Linked DNA regions of Drosophila melanogaster. The protein of the gene in region 1 interacts with the protein of each later gene in a pairwise test. Each region holds a gene or a part of one and is shown in the gene's direction. Other genes may lie near its edges.

Evidence for each region.
Region 2: the proteins of CG3335 (region 1) and kra interact in a two-hybrid assay, tested with the Drosophila melanogaster proteins (one large-scale study listed by BioGRID).

Annotation. Positions count from the first base shown.
Region 1 is NT_037436.4:9,622,601-9,629,030, forward strand, and holds CG3335 (uncharacterized protein), read left to right. Parts: upstream 1-1,636; 5' UTR 1,637-1,736; coding exon 1,737-1,772; intron 1,773-1,824; coding exon 1,825-4,082; intron 4,083-4,140; coding exon 4,141-4,263; intron 4,264-4,312; coding exon 4,313-4,652; 3' UTR 4,653-4,721; downstream 4,722-6,430. Other genes in the region: LanB2 (laminin B2), read left to right, coding at 1-159, 217-517, 579-790; Or67b (odorant receptor 67b), read right to left, coding at 4,812-4,868, 4,923-5,078, 5,133-5,234, 5,296-5,401, 5,453-5,621, 5,676-5,780, 5,841-6,035, 6,096-6,234 and 1 more.
Region 2 is NT_033777.3:5,593,928-5,602,691, reverse strand, and holds kra (krasavietz), read left to right. Parts: upstream 1-1,555; 5' UTR 1,556-1,677; intron 1,678-2,120; exon of another isoform or gene 2,121-2,654; intron 2,655-3,118; exon of another isoform or gene 3,119-3,327; 5' UTR 3,328-3,338; coding exon 3,339-3,576; intron 3,577-3,647; coding exon 3,648-3,748; intron 3,749-3,914; exon of another isoform or gene 3,915-4,054; intron 4,055-4,125; exon of another isoform or gene 4,126-4,269; intron 4,270-4,349; coding exon 4,350-4,488; intron 4,489-4,534; exon of another isoform or gene 4,535-4,677; intron 4,678-4,754; coding exon 4,755-4,920; intron 4,921-4,952; exon of another isoform or gene 4,953-5,096; intron 5,097-5,176; coding exon 5,177-5,420; intron 5,421-5,488; coding exon 5,489-5,831; intron 5,832-5,860; exon of another isoform or gene 5,861-5,995; intron 5,996-6,033; exon of another isoform or gene 6,034-6,166; intron 6,167-6,182; exon of another isoform or gene 6,183-6,332; intron 6,333-6,351; exon of another isoform or gene 6,352-6,491; intron 6,492-6,569; coding exon 6,570-6,607; 3' UTR 6,608-7,328; downstream 7,329-8,764. Other genes in the region: SecS (Sec synthetase), read right to left, coding at 1-778, 830-959, 1,023-1,136. UniProt on the Drosophila melanogaster protein: May be involved in memory formation.

The DNA of each region.
Region 1 (6,430 bases):
GCCCTGCAGACGGTGCCCAACATCGAGAAGGAGATTCAGAATGCGGAAAGCCTGATCAGCCAGGCGGAGGAGGCTCTCGATGGAGCCAATAAGAATGCCAACGAGGCCAAGAAGAATGCCCAGGAGGCGCAGCTGAAGTATGCCGAACAGGCTTCCAAGGTAAGTCATTCAGGGACATCTTATTATCCTTACTAAATTCGTAAAATTTCTTGACAGGATGCTGAGCTGATCCGCCGCAAAGCCAATGAGACCAAGGTGGCTGCCCGCAATCTGCGCGAAGAGGCCGACCAACTGAATCATCGCGTGAAACTCACCGAAATGGACATCTTCAAGCTGGAGGAGAGCTCGACCAAGGACGACAATCTGGTGGACGACGCCAAGCGAAAGGTGGGTCAGGCCAAGGCCGATACCCAGGAGGCCCAGAAGCAGATCGAGAAGGCCAATGCCGACCTGACGGCCATCAAGGATGAGCTGGAGAATCTGAAGGACATCAACACGGGCGATTTGGATAGATTGGGTAAGAAACAGAAACCTCTCTAATCTGAATTTACTTATGAGTAATCTAATTAATCTCGCAGAGAATCGTTTGGCCACTGTGGAGGGTGAGATCAATCGCGTCAACCTGACGGGACGCATCGAAAAGTACCGGGAACAGCGCACCATTCAGAAGAATCTGATCGACAAGTACGATGCCGAGCTGAGGGAGCTCAAGGATGAAGTCCAGAATATTGGACTTATTTCCAAGGCTCTCCCCGATAGCTGCTTCAGTCGCAATCGCCTGGAACCCTAGAGCTCTGCGAACAACCCCACTTCCCATAACAACTACTTCAATTTTAACTAAGAACGAAGATCTGAGACGAGACGAACAAATCAGATTTATGATAGAACGTAGACGTTGAATGAAATTATGTAATTTTAGTGCCTTAGCCGAAATATTCTGTTTAGTGACCCAGCCCAAGGATCCAAGGATCCACAAAGGAGACCAACTGAGCAACGTTAAGCTTTAACGCATCATCGTTCGCCTACTGTATGCCATATACTATAATGATACAACGGATACAAGAGGATGGATGATGGCCACATCGAGAATCAACTGCCAACTGTGCTTCACCAGTTTCAAGCCAGCAACGGACTGTATTATATGTTAAAAATGAGACACTAAACGAAACACACAAGACCTTGTACTCCCACAATCCGACAATCCAATCGCATATCTATATCTCTACCGTAGCTCCACCTGAAGTCTATTCTAAACACTTATATATTAACATATTTGTCATCTACGTTTAATGTGCCAATACAATTACCATGTATCTTTGTGTATAAGTCGCTTAAAGAGTTTCCTTTCAAAATATAACTTTTCCAACGTTGTAAGTTTGTAAAAATCCACCCTTTAAACTTGAACTGGGGAAATATAAGGATGCTCAAGCGAAGTGACGTTTTGAAGTCGAGGTTATTTTACTTTTTCATTCAGCTTTGATTTGCCATCACCCATTATAATCGAAACACAACTTAAAAAATATATAAATTTGAATATCTACATGTAAAATGTAACGTAAAGTAGAGTCGATGAAACGATAGACTTTTCGATAGTATACAAATTTCGACTTTCGATACTACTGATGCTACTATCGCTCGTTTTGCATATCTAATGCACGTGTTGTTTCAATTTGTTTGTAAACAAAAGTTTTCTTAAATGAGTTTTTAGCTGCAGACCGACAAATTAGCCACAAAAGATGTCACGAATTATAGTCAAACAGCTGCCCAAGCATGTGAGTATGTAGACTTGTTAAAAAAAAGCATCTACTTAAACTGAAATTGTAGATCACCGAAGACAAACTGCGTCAGATTTTTGGTGCCCAGGGCACGATTACGGATCTGCAACTAAAATACACGCCCGATGGAAAGTTTCGGCAATTTTGCTTCGTGGGTTACAGCACCGAGGAGGAGGCCCAATCGGCCATCCGGCACTTTGACAACACATGCATTCAGACCAGCCGGGTGCGCGTCGAATCCTGTGCTGCCTTGGGCAGCGAAGATAAGCCACAATCTTGGAGCAAGTACGCCAAGGACAGCAAGAAGAACCTAGACAAATTGAAGGAGAAGGAAAGGGAGGCGGCTGCCAAGGCTAAGGAGTCTGAGAAAAAGAAGAAGAAAGATAAAGTTGACAAGGTGGACCAAATTTTGAGCAGACACAAAGACGATCCGGAATTCCAAGAGTTTCTAGAGGCGCATGACAAGTCGCGAACGCTGTGGGGAAACGATTTGGGTATAAATAAAAATCGGGAGAACGAAGAAGAGGATGATGAGGAACAGGAAGAATCTCGAGCTGCCAGAGATGACAGTGGAGTGGATGCAGATGCAGGAGATGAGGATGGCTCAGGCGATGAGGCAGATGAGGAAGAAGACACCGATAAACTGGCCGAAAAGCCCATCAGCGATCTTGAGTATATGAAATCCCTGATGGCAACCACATCCGGCGAAGCTACTGCAAAGAAACCCAAAGCCAAGGCGGATAAATCAAATTTGGAGCTGTTCACCATTAAAATACACAATGTACCATACAACACCAAGCGCCAGGAGGTGCTAAAGTTTTTCAAGCCCCTGAAACCGTACTCCGTTCGGCTGCCCAGCAAAGTTCACGGCTTCTGCTACGTGGGTTTTAAAACTGAGAAAGACATGGCCAAGGGAATGCTTAAAAACAAGAGTTTCATCAAGGGCAAGCAAGTATTCTTCTCCGACTTTACAGAGAAGAACAAGGTGACCAAAGCGAGCAAGAGTGGACAACCATTGGCACCAGCCGCCGTCGATGCGGGCAATGCGAAGTGGAAGCATCAGCAGGACAGTTTATCCAAAGAAGATGACATCTCCGAGTCCGGGAGGATATTCTTTCGTAATCTAGCATACACTACTACCGAAGAGGATCTGCGCAAGCTTTTCGAGCAGTTCGGTCCCGTGGTGGAGGTTAACTTGCCCCTCGACAAGCTAACGCGAAAAATCAAGGGCTTTGGTACAGTTACGTACATGATGCCGGAGCACGCATTAAAGGCTTTTAATACCCTCGATGGCACTGATTTCCATGGCCGTCTCTTGCACCTTCTGCCCAGCAAGGACATCGAAAAGAATCCGAAAGAGGATTTGGATGAAAACGATGCCAGTCTGTCATTCAAAGAAAAGAAGGCCTTGAAACTCAAGAAGAACGCCCAAAAACCAATTGGCTGGAACACATTGTTTCTGGGTGCCAATGCTGTTGCAGAAATTCTCGCCAAGCAATTCAAGACCTCAAAGGAACGCATCCTGGACACAAGCGATGGTGGCAGTAGTGCCGCCGTGCGCTTGGCTTTGGGAGAAACCCAAGTCGTCATCGAGATGAAGCGCTTCCTGGAGGAAGAAGGCGTTCGTCTTGATGCATTTGATGAGCCCGCAAAGAAACGTTCTAACACTGTTATACTAGCCAAGAATTTGCCAGCGGCCACAGAGATTTCAGAGATTACCCCCATCTTTAGTCGATTTGGCCCAATTGGCAGGATTGTGCTTCCTCCCAGTGGGGTTACGGCACTTATCGAGTACTGTGATCCTTTGGAGGCGAGGCAAGCTTTCAAGAAGTTGGCCTACAGTAAATTCAAGAATGCCCCACTCTATTTGGAGTGGGCTCCCGAGCAGGTCTTTACCAAGACCCTTAGTGGAGAGCCAGTGATTCCCAAATCGGAACCGAAACCAAAGGAGGAGGTAAAGCCAGAGGAGAAACCGATTGTAAATGATGCGAAACCTGACGAGGAGGATTCTAGGGCAGAGGATGCCGATGATGAACCCGAACCGAATACAACACTATTTCTACGGAACCTTAACTTTAAAACCGTACAGGAAACCGTTGAGAAACACTTCCGCCATTTGGGTAGCATTCACACTGTTGAAATTGCTAAGCGAAGGGATCCCGAGAATCCCCGGGAATTCAAGTCCCTTGGCTACGGCTTCATTCAGTTCAAGAAGTCCTCAGTGGCAGAGCACGCTCTCAAGAACTTGCAGCTCACCCACATAGATGGTAATCCCGTGGAACTGAAGCGCAGCGATCGTGTGCTCAAGTAAGCCTCGGAAAACCGAACTTTACTTTTTCTTTGCTAATGGGATAATCTTTTCCAGAACCCAAGATAATGATGGCGCACAACGTCGACTGGCCTCACAGAAGAAGCAAACGGGAACCAAAATCCTGGTGCGAAATATTCCCTTCCAGGCACAATACCGCGAGGTTCGAGATATATTCAAGTACGTATAGGTCATACCGGTTAGGAAAAATTCTAATCCGTGCTTTTAGGGCTTTTGGCGAACTGCGATCCTTACGTATTCCTAAAAAGGCGACCACGGGCGAGGATGCGCATCGTGGTTTCGGTTTCGTTGACTACATGTCCAAGGCGGAGGCCAAACGCGCCTTCGACGCCCTAAGCGCCAGTACGCATCTTTACGGTCGTCGTTTGGTGCTTGAGTGGAGCGCCAACGACGACAACCAGGACGTGGAGGAGCTTCGCAAGCGAACGGCAGCCAAATTCGATGGCAGTCAAGCGGCCACTGCGGCCAAACGCAGTAGAAAATCCTTCTTCGATGTGGAGGGCAGTGTGCAGCCAAATCAAGATGACGACGAAGAGGAGGAGCAATAGGCCTCAGGCGTAGCTTGAAAGTGTAGAAAGAACACGATATAATAAATAGAAATTGTTATTTTTATGAACAAAACTGCACGACTCTGTTTTAATAACTGCAAGTTACTATCGAATCCGTAACCGCAATAACGAAATAGTTCCAAGTAAGTACTAGGAAACCTATTTGTTGTTCATGTTGCGCAGGAGCAGAAAGAAGTTTGCACTCAACCGAAAGACCTGAAAGTGGAATCTTAATATGGTATGAAATAAAAGACAATTTCAATACAATACCTGCACTAGGAACTTGTGGGAGAGACTTGTAAACCCACCCACGCTTAAAACAAAAGTTCGGCGTGAGAAAAGCAGCATCATTTTGATCATGAACTTGAATTCCCTTGACTCATTATACCAACTACAGTTGTACCAGTCATGGAACAGCAGTTCACTCTAAAAATACAATAATTCCTTACATAAAAATTGAAATTATACAATATAATATACCTGGCTCTCCACCTTCTGTGCACTCACGTTGTACAGAGTGATCTCCAGAGCTATGGTCACAAAGTAGACCATAATCATGCCCATCCACACCCAGCCCACTTCCTAATGAAACAATTTTTAAATAAAAAGATTTGTAAATTCTATAGCTTATCAATCAACTCACCAAAACCGTGCTGATCTTGTAGAGCAGCATGCAGATCAAAATACTGCTAACGGAACACTGAACCAGGATGATATACTTGAAGAGGTTTTCAATTTGATTATGATGGCTAAATGAAAAGTGGTTTGAAGAGTTAGTTTTAAGAAGTCTATCCTCTCACCTTGATATGCGAGCAAAAAGCCTCACGCAACATTGAAGATATTTAACTCTTTGGTCCTTGGGAACCAGGATATCCGAGGTGGAATTTTGGACCAGAAACCTTAGGACTTTTATCAGACCAGACTCATATCTGGTAAGGACCACGAAAAGGCTGTTAAAGCCAAAAACGGCTTAAGGGAAAAGTTTTTTAATTATTATTCAAGTTAATAACTTAGCAGACCCACCAAAAAAGCACCAAAGAGGACCAGATTGAAGTAAAAAGAAGCGAATCACATAGGAAGGAAATTCATAATTTCCCAATTGCAAATAAGGCACAATTGCCGGGTAAGCTGTAATATACATATATTAATTAAATCAGAATGTTGAAGTGGTACCCTTAGTTTGCCTACTCAAGGTCATTTCACAGGTATCCTTGTCCTTGATATAGCAATCGAAGATATATTGAAAGTATGGTCGCACACAATAGTATAGAACAGGCATGCAAACGATCTTGAAGAAGAACATCACCTGACGATCGATTATCATCCAATTGTTAAGCAAAATCAAACTAACTGAGCTCAGCAGTTCCTTTTTTCTCGGCAAATCTGTTTTTGAAATGTTTCGAACATATTAAAGAACAGATATCACTGACTCTACTGTCTTACCCAATTGAAAAAGACCCAGGGACTTTAATACCTCTCCAGTCTCCGTAGAAAACACTAGTTGGGAACACGATTCCACTTTGTTCTGAAAGTGAAACATCTTAACCACACCAACGCTTAATTGAAAGGTAAGCAAAACAGCCTAATAGAATATATAAAGAATTAGAAGTGCGCAGATTAGGAATAAGGCACATTAAACCAAACCTCAACGTAGGTCTCGAAGGAGATCATATAGTTCTCCATAATAAAGGCGACGAGACTGTAGATTATACTCAAGTTAACAATCAACACCAAAATGCGAGTTCTGGATAAGAAAGACCCTAATTTAACAAAAACAA
Region 2 (8,764 bases), on another chromosome or scaffold:
CGCTGATCGAAAAGCAATCGAAAGCCATTGCGCCCAAGTGAGAGTAGCGTCATCAAGACATCTAGTGACTGGGAACCACTAGCTCTCCCAGCATAAGTACTGGCCACATCGTGGAGCACACTCTCATTGAAGCTGGCCACAATGGCACTACCCACTGGCACCAGCAAATTCTTGTCGCTGCTCTGAACGAAGTAATCAATGCGTCCGACTCGATTGGCGCACTCCAACTGATTAACGATTTCCTTTGCCTGCAATCCATAGGCATTATTGACCAGATGGGGAATCTGCCATTGTTTGGACAACTTGGATACTTCGGCAATGTCATCGCTGTTTCGTGGAGCAAAACAACTGGTGGTAGTGTACAGGCAGAGGATGCTATCCACTCCCAATGACTTTATCTTTTCTCGGAATAAATCTACGTTCGTGTTCAGGGACTCTCCTTTAATAAGGCAGGGGATGACTACCGGCACCAAGCCCGTTGCTGTGATGGCCTTGAAGCAGGACTTCTGATCGATGCGGGACCAGAGCACATACCGCGCCCCGGGTCGCCGCTTGCGAAGACTCTGCAGGCACAAAGTCAATGTCATGCCTGTACACATTGGCACCAAAAAGCAGCCAGCACAGCTGGGCAGTCCGATTCCCCGAATAAGGTCCAGAATCAGGGCGTTTGTGAGACGAGCGAGCAGCGTAGAGCCAGCTGCCTTGGGTTGTGCCTCTAGTAAGTCTCCAGATCTGCCGATACCATGACCGAAGTTGTAGTGACGGCGAGCCACGAGTTCTGAATGACAAATTCATTACGGGGGATATCGCCTCCTGATCCCTTACTTACTGCAGGCTATACGCGCCTCCCGCTCTCCTAAACCGACCTTATGTGGATAGTTATTGCTGTCCAAGGAAGCCAGCATGTGCACCAGCTCCTCGATACGTTCATCGGACCAACCATTTTTCGGAAGCTTTCGCTTGAAAAGAAGAATTATCCATGGAGTTATCAATTAATTTGGGTTTAATTTCGGTTTGATTACCTTTTCGAGCAGCTCCTTAAAACTGCGCTGCTTACTGCGTTGCGCAGCCAGTCCCAGTTGCAAATAGTTGTCCGGCACTAGTTTCTCTGGTATATTGACCTGCTCAAAGTTCATTTGGCTTTTGGATAATGTAAATATAAACTAAAAGTAAACAATGTCTATCGCCGCTTTCAGGTGCGCAAAAAAAAAACAGTTAAATTTTCTTACTGAGCAAGTAAGGCGGCGATGCCATATTGTTTAAATAGCTGACAAATGGACACCTTTCGATTTTGTTTAAAGTGGAGGAAAAATATATAATATATACAAAGGCGTATTTTCGAAAATAAACTCCTCGCAACGCTACTAAAATGGACTTAACTTAATTTGTTGAATTTGTTAAGGTTAAATATGAATTTTGTTAATGCAAACATGACTTTTGTGGAATCTTTGATTCCGTTAAATGTCCGGCAGCGCTGCACCATTTTCAGGTCCGGTTAGTGGGGCCAGCCAACAGCTTCACCAAAATGTTGCCACCTTTTGGACACCTTAGTGAGCTCTGTACCATTGCGTACGAAGCAGGCCACGGTCATACCGCAAGTCATCCAGAAGAAGCAGCCCAACAGCTACGCAAAAAGTTACTTTTATTCGCAGCAAAACAGATTTTTTTGTTTTAATCGTAAGTATAGGAGTGAAAAATAGCGCTAGAGTAGACCTAAGTACACAGAAAGACAAATAGGGCGAGTAAAATCGCGGTCCTGGTCATTTCTCTGGCCTTGACCAATCCTTTGTCTGCGCTTTCGTTGGAAAAGGGGTTATGTACGAACTGCGTGCGTACCTAAGGCCAGATTAGTCATCGGGCAGTCATATATTCATGCAAAAAATCATTTGGTGGCCGTCGGCCTTTGTTCGACTGTACCTTGCTCATTATTTAATAAGCGCGACAGCAATATACACACTTTGAACCCCCATCCCACATTTTTTCTCACCGTTTCCCCCTAATTTTCGTTTTCCCTGTGCCCATCATTCCGCTTTCGCCATGTCAGTGTATCGCTTCAAAATGGCGCCGAACCACATGTCTTCGTTCTCGGCTCGTCCGCTTCGTTCGTGCGCTCGTGTGTCGTCTCATTCGCTCTCCGAATTTCGTTTAACAAAGTGGTGCGAGCAGAGGGGCGCTGGATTCGAGGCAAACAACACATATACCTAGTAACCGATTGTGATAGCTGTTAAAAATAGAATTCCGGACGTAGTCTGAGCAAAATTGTTAACGTTTATTTTGAAGGCATAAAAGTAAATTCCGTTACAAAAAATTATATTTTCTATTTGCTCTCCCCTTTTCTTTGTTGTTGTGTGTGTGCGTGCGTGTCAATTTTACCGTGCAAAAGCTCGCTCATAAGAAAAGAGAGGTAAGAAAAGAAGGGATCTGCCATCTGTCTCTTTGTTTTTCGTCGACTCGAGTGAGAAGCATTAACCAGCCAGCGCTTCGTGAGGTTAAATTAAATTACATATTCTCGCACGTTCGTTAGTTGTGAAAAAGCAACAGGCACACACACACACACATACACACTACACTCGCACACGACTGATTTCAATTGATTGCAAGGACACGCGGAAGCGGCAAACACAGGGCCAGACTTAATATCCTTGGGTGAAAGCGTAAGTTGCCGTTCCTTATATGTACCAATGTGTACTTGATAGCCTAGATAATTTAATTTTTGCGTTTTCGCTGCTATGACAATTTTCCCGGCCAACTAGCACACAGTCATCGGCGCGTTTTTATGTGCACTACATGCACAATGACCTCATTTCCCCAGCGCGCTACCTAACACAAGTAACCACGTCAAAATTTCACTTTATTCTGCGTTTCTATGTCGATTTCTTGGTCGCCTCACCTCTCAATTCTTTTTATTTCTTTTGTCGACATTATCAAACTGTAAAATGCACAGTGGGTATGTGTGTGTGAAAAAGAGAGATAATTAAAAAGAGATGTGAAGTGTGCCCGTTCTCCGCTCTTGAATGTGTGTGTTTAAAGCACATGTACGCTGGCATTTTTAGGTTAAGGCTTTCTTAGGCTCAGTTTTCACTAGAGTTTCCACTTAAACGCCGGTCATAGGTGAAAATGTTGTAGTTTGATTATGAGCGCAACGAGAATACATATACAGGGAACGGTTTTCCACCGCTTGGAGACCACCTTAGTCATCTTACACTAAAATTAAGATAAATCTAAAAATGAATCTAGTGGCCATGATAATTTAGTCTGGTCAGAAATAAAAACTTACAGGGGCAAACCAAAACCGCTTCCATCTCTGATCCACATTTACCTTTGCAGCAATTTATTGTATGAGTCAAAAAACTGAAAGACCAGTGCTATCGGGTCAACGCATCAAGACCAGAAAAAGAGATGAAAGAGAAAAATATGACCCAACGGGATTCCGTGATGCGGTCATTGCTGGTCTCGAAAAAACTGAAGGCGACCTGGAACAAATCTCTAAATATCTAGACAGCGCGGGCAACAAGCTCGACTATCGTCGCTACGGTGAAGTTCTCTTTGACATATTGATTGCAGGAGGTCTACTAGGTAAGTTTTCCGCTGCAAGTAATGTGTTTAGTCTCTTCACTGACCCTTTTCCATCCTCGTTTCAATTGCAGTGCCTGGTGGTTCTATATCTCAGGATGGCGAAAAGCCGCGCACAAGCTACTGCATCTTCGATGCGCCCGAGAGCATGGAGAGCATGCGCAACCATGAGCAGGTTTGTAATCTTTTAGCAGGTCATACTTAAATTATGATTATGAGTAAACGAAAATTGGTTTGATTGCAACACAAGTTGAGCTCTTGTTGTTTTCCAAGCTAAAACGTTTATTTACTACTAAATGATTTTCTTCGGATCCACTTAAAAGTATGAAATTCGTGAAGTGGCTGCATATCATTAGAGCTGACTATAAAGTTTCAAAAATGTAATCGGTGTCAAGAATATGCAATAACAATCAACACATTTACTTGTCTTTGGTTTGTCCTAAACACTAACGTTCTGAAGATTTCTTATGTGTCAACAACTACTCTTTATTCAACACTATATATATATACTATATGCATGCAACCACTGCGAAGGTCACGCTATTGAATCAAAGTGCATATTATTAGAACCGGTTATGCATCTCAACAACTCAATCGGTGTCAAAATATGCAAAATAAAAAGCCACATTTTACTTGTCTTTATTTTGTAAAATTACTACCGCCAGCAATCTAAAGATTTCTAATGTTGCAACAACAAATACAAAAGCCTCCTGCGTGAGAACACAGTAAAATTTCACCATCCGCTAACAGGGGCAATCACACTTTACCTTTTCCAGGTATTTGTCAAGCTCATCAGACGGTACAAGTACCTTGAGAAAATGTTCGAAGAGGAGATGGGAAAGGTTCTATTATTCGTAAAGGGCTTTACTCCTAGTGAACGCATCAAGCTTGCGCGTATGACAGCGCTCTGGTTAGGTAAGTCTTAACATTTATGTTCCTGTTCCTCCTGTGCATTGCTTGCGTCTGCCCATTCGGTCTTTCAATTAGTTGTTTCGATAAACACTTGTTCAACTTGCAGCTGAGGGGCTAAAGTAATCCTTCACTTGGTATACTGACTCTTGGATGAACTAACCACATCTAAGGGCCACGAGCCCAAGGACAGGATTGCTAGCCGGCCGTCTAAACTTGTTTTGCGAAAACATTTGACTAACCCTATATTTAACCCTATTTTTGATCAACAGTCAACGGTTCTGTACCGCCAAATGTTTTACTGGTACTAAACAACGAGCACCTAATCAAGGATGGCATTGCATTGGAGTTTCTACTAGAGCTGTTCCAGACGTTCAAGCAAGAGAAGGGCATTGCATATCTGATTCAGGCGCTTAAGAAGGGTGGACTGGAAAGCAAGTAAGTTTTTAGTTGTGATTTGTTTTTAGCCCCGGAATGTTCTCAGGAAGATGACTCAATGATCCAGTTGTGCATCTTTAATTGATATTCCTAGAGTAAGAAAGTTCGACGGAGTTTTACCCAATTCGCAAATGACCTTTCGCTTCATTTGGGTGCTGATTTAATTTCGTACACCTCAATACGTCATTTAAGGTTGATTATTGAATGCGTTAACTTAAATTATTAATAATGGTTCCACTTTTTCACGTTTTTCCAGACTTATGGACTTTTTCCCACCGAACAAACGTACTGAGGAATATTTTAAACAAGTTTTTCTTGACAAAGAACTTAACGAGATCGTCAAGCTACATAAGGCTCAGGCTAGCCAGGAGGCGAAGCGTGAGTTGCAGCAGGCGCTCATCGATGATATCAACGATGAGAAGCCATATAATGAGATAACCTCAGACATTAAGGACTTCTCGCAGCGCACCAACATTCCCGATCATGAAATAATTGTTATTGTAAGTCGATGCGTAAATAATCCAACTGGATGATTTCCTTACTAAATCTCATGTATGATCTTTACCAGATTTGGTCCACCATCATGTCATTGGGCGAATGGAACAAGAAGGAGGAGCTGGTTACCGATCAGGCTGTTCGTCATCTGAAGAACTACTGCCCACTGTTGCAGGCTTTCGCCTCGACCGACCGTTCGGAATTGGCCCTAATCTTGAAGGTGCAGGAATTCTGCTACGAGAACATGAACTTCATGAAGGCCTTCCAGAAAATCATTTTGTTGTTCTACAAGACCGAGGTCCTGTCCGAGGAGATCATCTTGCGCTGGTACAAGGAGGGCCACTCAAACAAGGGCAAAATGCATTTCCTTGAACAAATGCGAAAGTTTGTCGAATGGCTTCAGTCAGCCGAAGAAGGTTAGTATGTTTTGATAAATGTTATCAGCGTGCAATTTTTGAGAATGGTCTTGTCTTAAATAGCTTGATTCTGGTACGTAATTGCAAGAGAAATTTGGGTTTTTTGCTTGCCTCGTTGATTTCCATTCACTGAACAACGTAGGCCAATGAAAACCTGGACAATATAAATATTCAAATTTTGCTTCCTTCGAAACTTTACACAGTGCACTTTTTGAGAATGGTCTTGTCCTGGATGACATTTTCATTGTACAAAATTGCAAGAGCATTTGAGTTTTTGCTTGCCTTGTTGCCTCACAAAATCCGAGCATCAAAGGCCAATGAAAACTTGGACACAAATAGCTGACTTCACCGAGCATGCTTCTTACCAAGCTTTTAAAGTGTTCCCATTATTAGGAACCAGTTTTAAAGGGTTCATGTACAGTATGCAAAAGCGAAAGAATGATTGGGTGCCCATATAACCCAATGCCGTGGTTAATTTGGCCAATAATCGTTTGGACAGCTGCATTTGTCCTAGTCCGCATGCACAATCCCCTCATAAAAGCTCCGAATGGTTGCTTCATTCGATTGAGCCAAGCGGGGAGTTGTGCCAAAGCATTTGAATGGTTGGGTGTCCAGATAACTTTCCATAGTTAAATTTGGCCAATAATCATTTGGACAGCATAACCGGAGCTGCACATCTTTTCAGTTTGTACCAATTGAAGCCCCCATACTAACATTTTGTATTCTATTCTCTTTCAGAATCCGAATCTGAGGACGAACAAAAGAATGGCGAGTAAGAACTTGGTTGATGGCTAAATGAGGATGAACACAAACGGAGCCGCCCTTTAGCATCCCCATCCAAAAATTCGAAACCAGCACCTGCAACAGCCAGTCGAACTATATATAAAACTCACCCCTATGAATTAATGTCATTTTGAAAACTCCACCTATATAAAACTCAAAAATTCCAACAAATAAAGGAGAGAGTAAAAAAAACATGCTAGAAACTAAACGTTTGCAGTCCAGTCTGATATCATTCACGAATCTACACTTAGTTCCCGTTTGCAATATACCGGCAAACCCATACTATATATGTTAATAAAAGTTTGAAGTGGAAACAGCAGCACGCTCCAAATTAATAGAGAACATCTGACCGCCAATAACGTCGACTACTACGACCTGCAGTGAGGTAGCTGGAGTTCCGCGGAGTTGATGCAACAAATAAAAAACCAAAAGAGATACCACAGAGATGCTTTGTGTGAATTCGGGGATGTGTTCCGTTTGCATGTTCGCATTATTCATCAATAAATTTTCCTCATATATGCGTTTAACAAGTAGTACTCACTCTCGAAGGATTTGCCACGGCGATGAAAGGAAATTAACAAGTTATATTTGAAAGATCAATATCATTTAGCAAAGTTTCGTCGAACAAAATCTATGGATTTACGAAATATAAGATACATGGACTTAGCACATGTATACGTATAAAACCATTAAACAACCCAAAGTATTTAACTGAAACGCTGAGAAAGCATTGTATTTAAATTTGATTGGCATATAGGGGCATATTTTTGTTTAACAAATTTAGTTGGCATTATGAGGGGTCTAACTTCAAATCAGTTTTTTAAGGTCTTAAAAAGATGTGGTCCGATTCTATATTTAAAAGTTTGACAAAAAACCAAATCCGAATGCTGGATCCCCATTTCTGCAACTTCGAATATTTTGTACGTTTATTGTTACAGACATGGCCAAATCTAGTCGTCATTCATTTGTGACAAATATTACAAGTTTTAAGAAGTTACCTTTTTTCTTTTTGTATTACTTACATTGAATAAGACATATCCCGAAAAGTATGCAGCACTATTTTGGTTCGGAAGATACAATGTTTGAGATACGCTTTACTCGTCTAGTTTTAGTTCAACGGAAAGGCATCTTCTAAAGCAAACTCGTGGTGCTTCCAAGTTACAGGAATCTGCGAGTTTAGTCCAGACCTTCTGGCTTTTTTATGTTCTAGGTTTTCATACAAACATGAGCAAGTTGACTCTGCTGATCAAGAATATGGGTGTACTTAATTAAGACTTATTTGAAGTCCTAGATTGAATTTCTTAAAATAGTTTACCCCATGTCTTGTTTTTAGGATCATTAGAACATTGCAAAAGGAAGTTGTTATACAGTTAAGTTTAGTTTTTGGAAATACTGTTTTTTATTCAACATAAATTTTGTTTAAAAGTAATTTTTCTTGCATTTTGTATTTCATGTAATGTATATAGTACTCGATGTTATATAATAACGCATATGCTACTTGTATTTGTTTGCTAATCTTGTAGTTATTCATCATATTGAACTTGGTAACTTGGTTAGAAAATGAGCTTGAAGAATACACTATGAACATTGGCGAACATGCGAATACAAGGTTCAAATTTACTGTAGCTCCTGCTCCTGTATGCTAGTCGTGTGTTTGAACATGGTGTGTTGATTTTTAGAGCCTGATATGATGGCGCAGCGTCAGGTGGAAACGGTGGCAGTTCGGCAGTCCCCTAAATTGCAAAACTAATTTCCATTTTTCTATATTTTCTTTAAGTAGTTATATGAGGGTGTGAAAGCTGCACTTGATGGTCAGGTCAACAAACTTAGCTACTTGGCAAAACTTCATCGTCGTTGGTGCATGTGTAATGAATGGGTATTAAGTGTCGCGTGCTAAGCAGTGTGTATTCTCTACTCTCGGTATCTCAACAACAACAGACATTGATGATTTTCGGGGCTTTCGTTGAGCCAGTGGCAGTTGCACAAGCGTCCGTTGCCCTCGAAGAAGCGAAATCGGGGGTTTAGGTCCATTTCGGTGCTTCGCTGAGCAACAATGCTGTGTGGTCGCATGCGCAACCTGCCAGCGGCTCTGTAAAAGGGGCGATCCACTGCCGTTGTTCCTCCTGAACGCTGCACTTGATAATTACGAA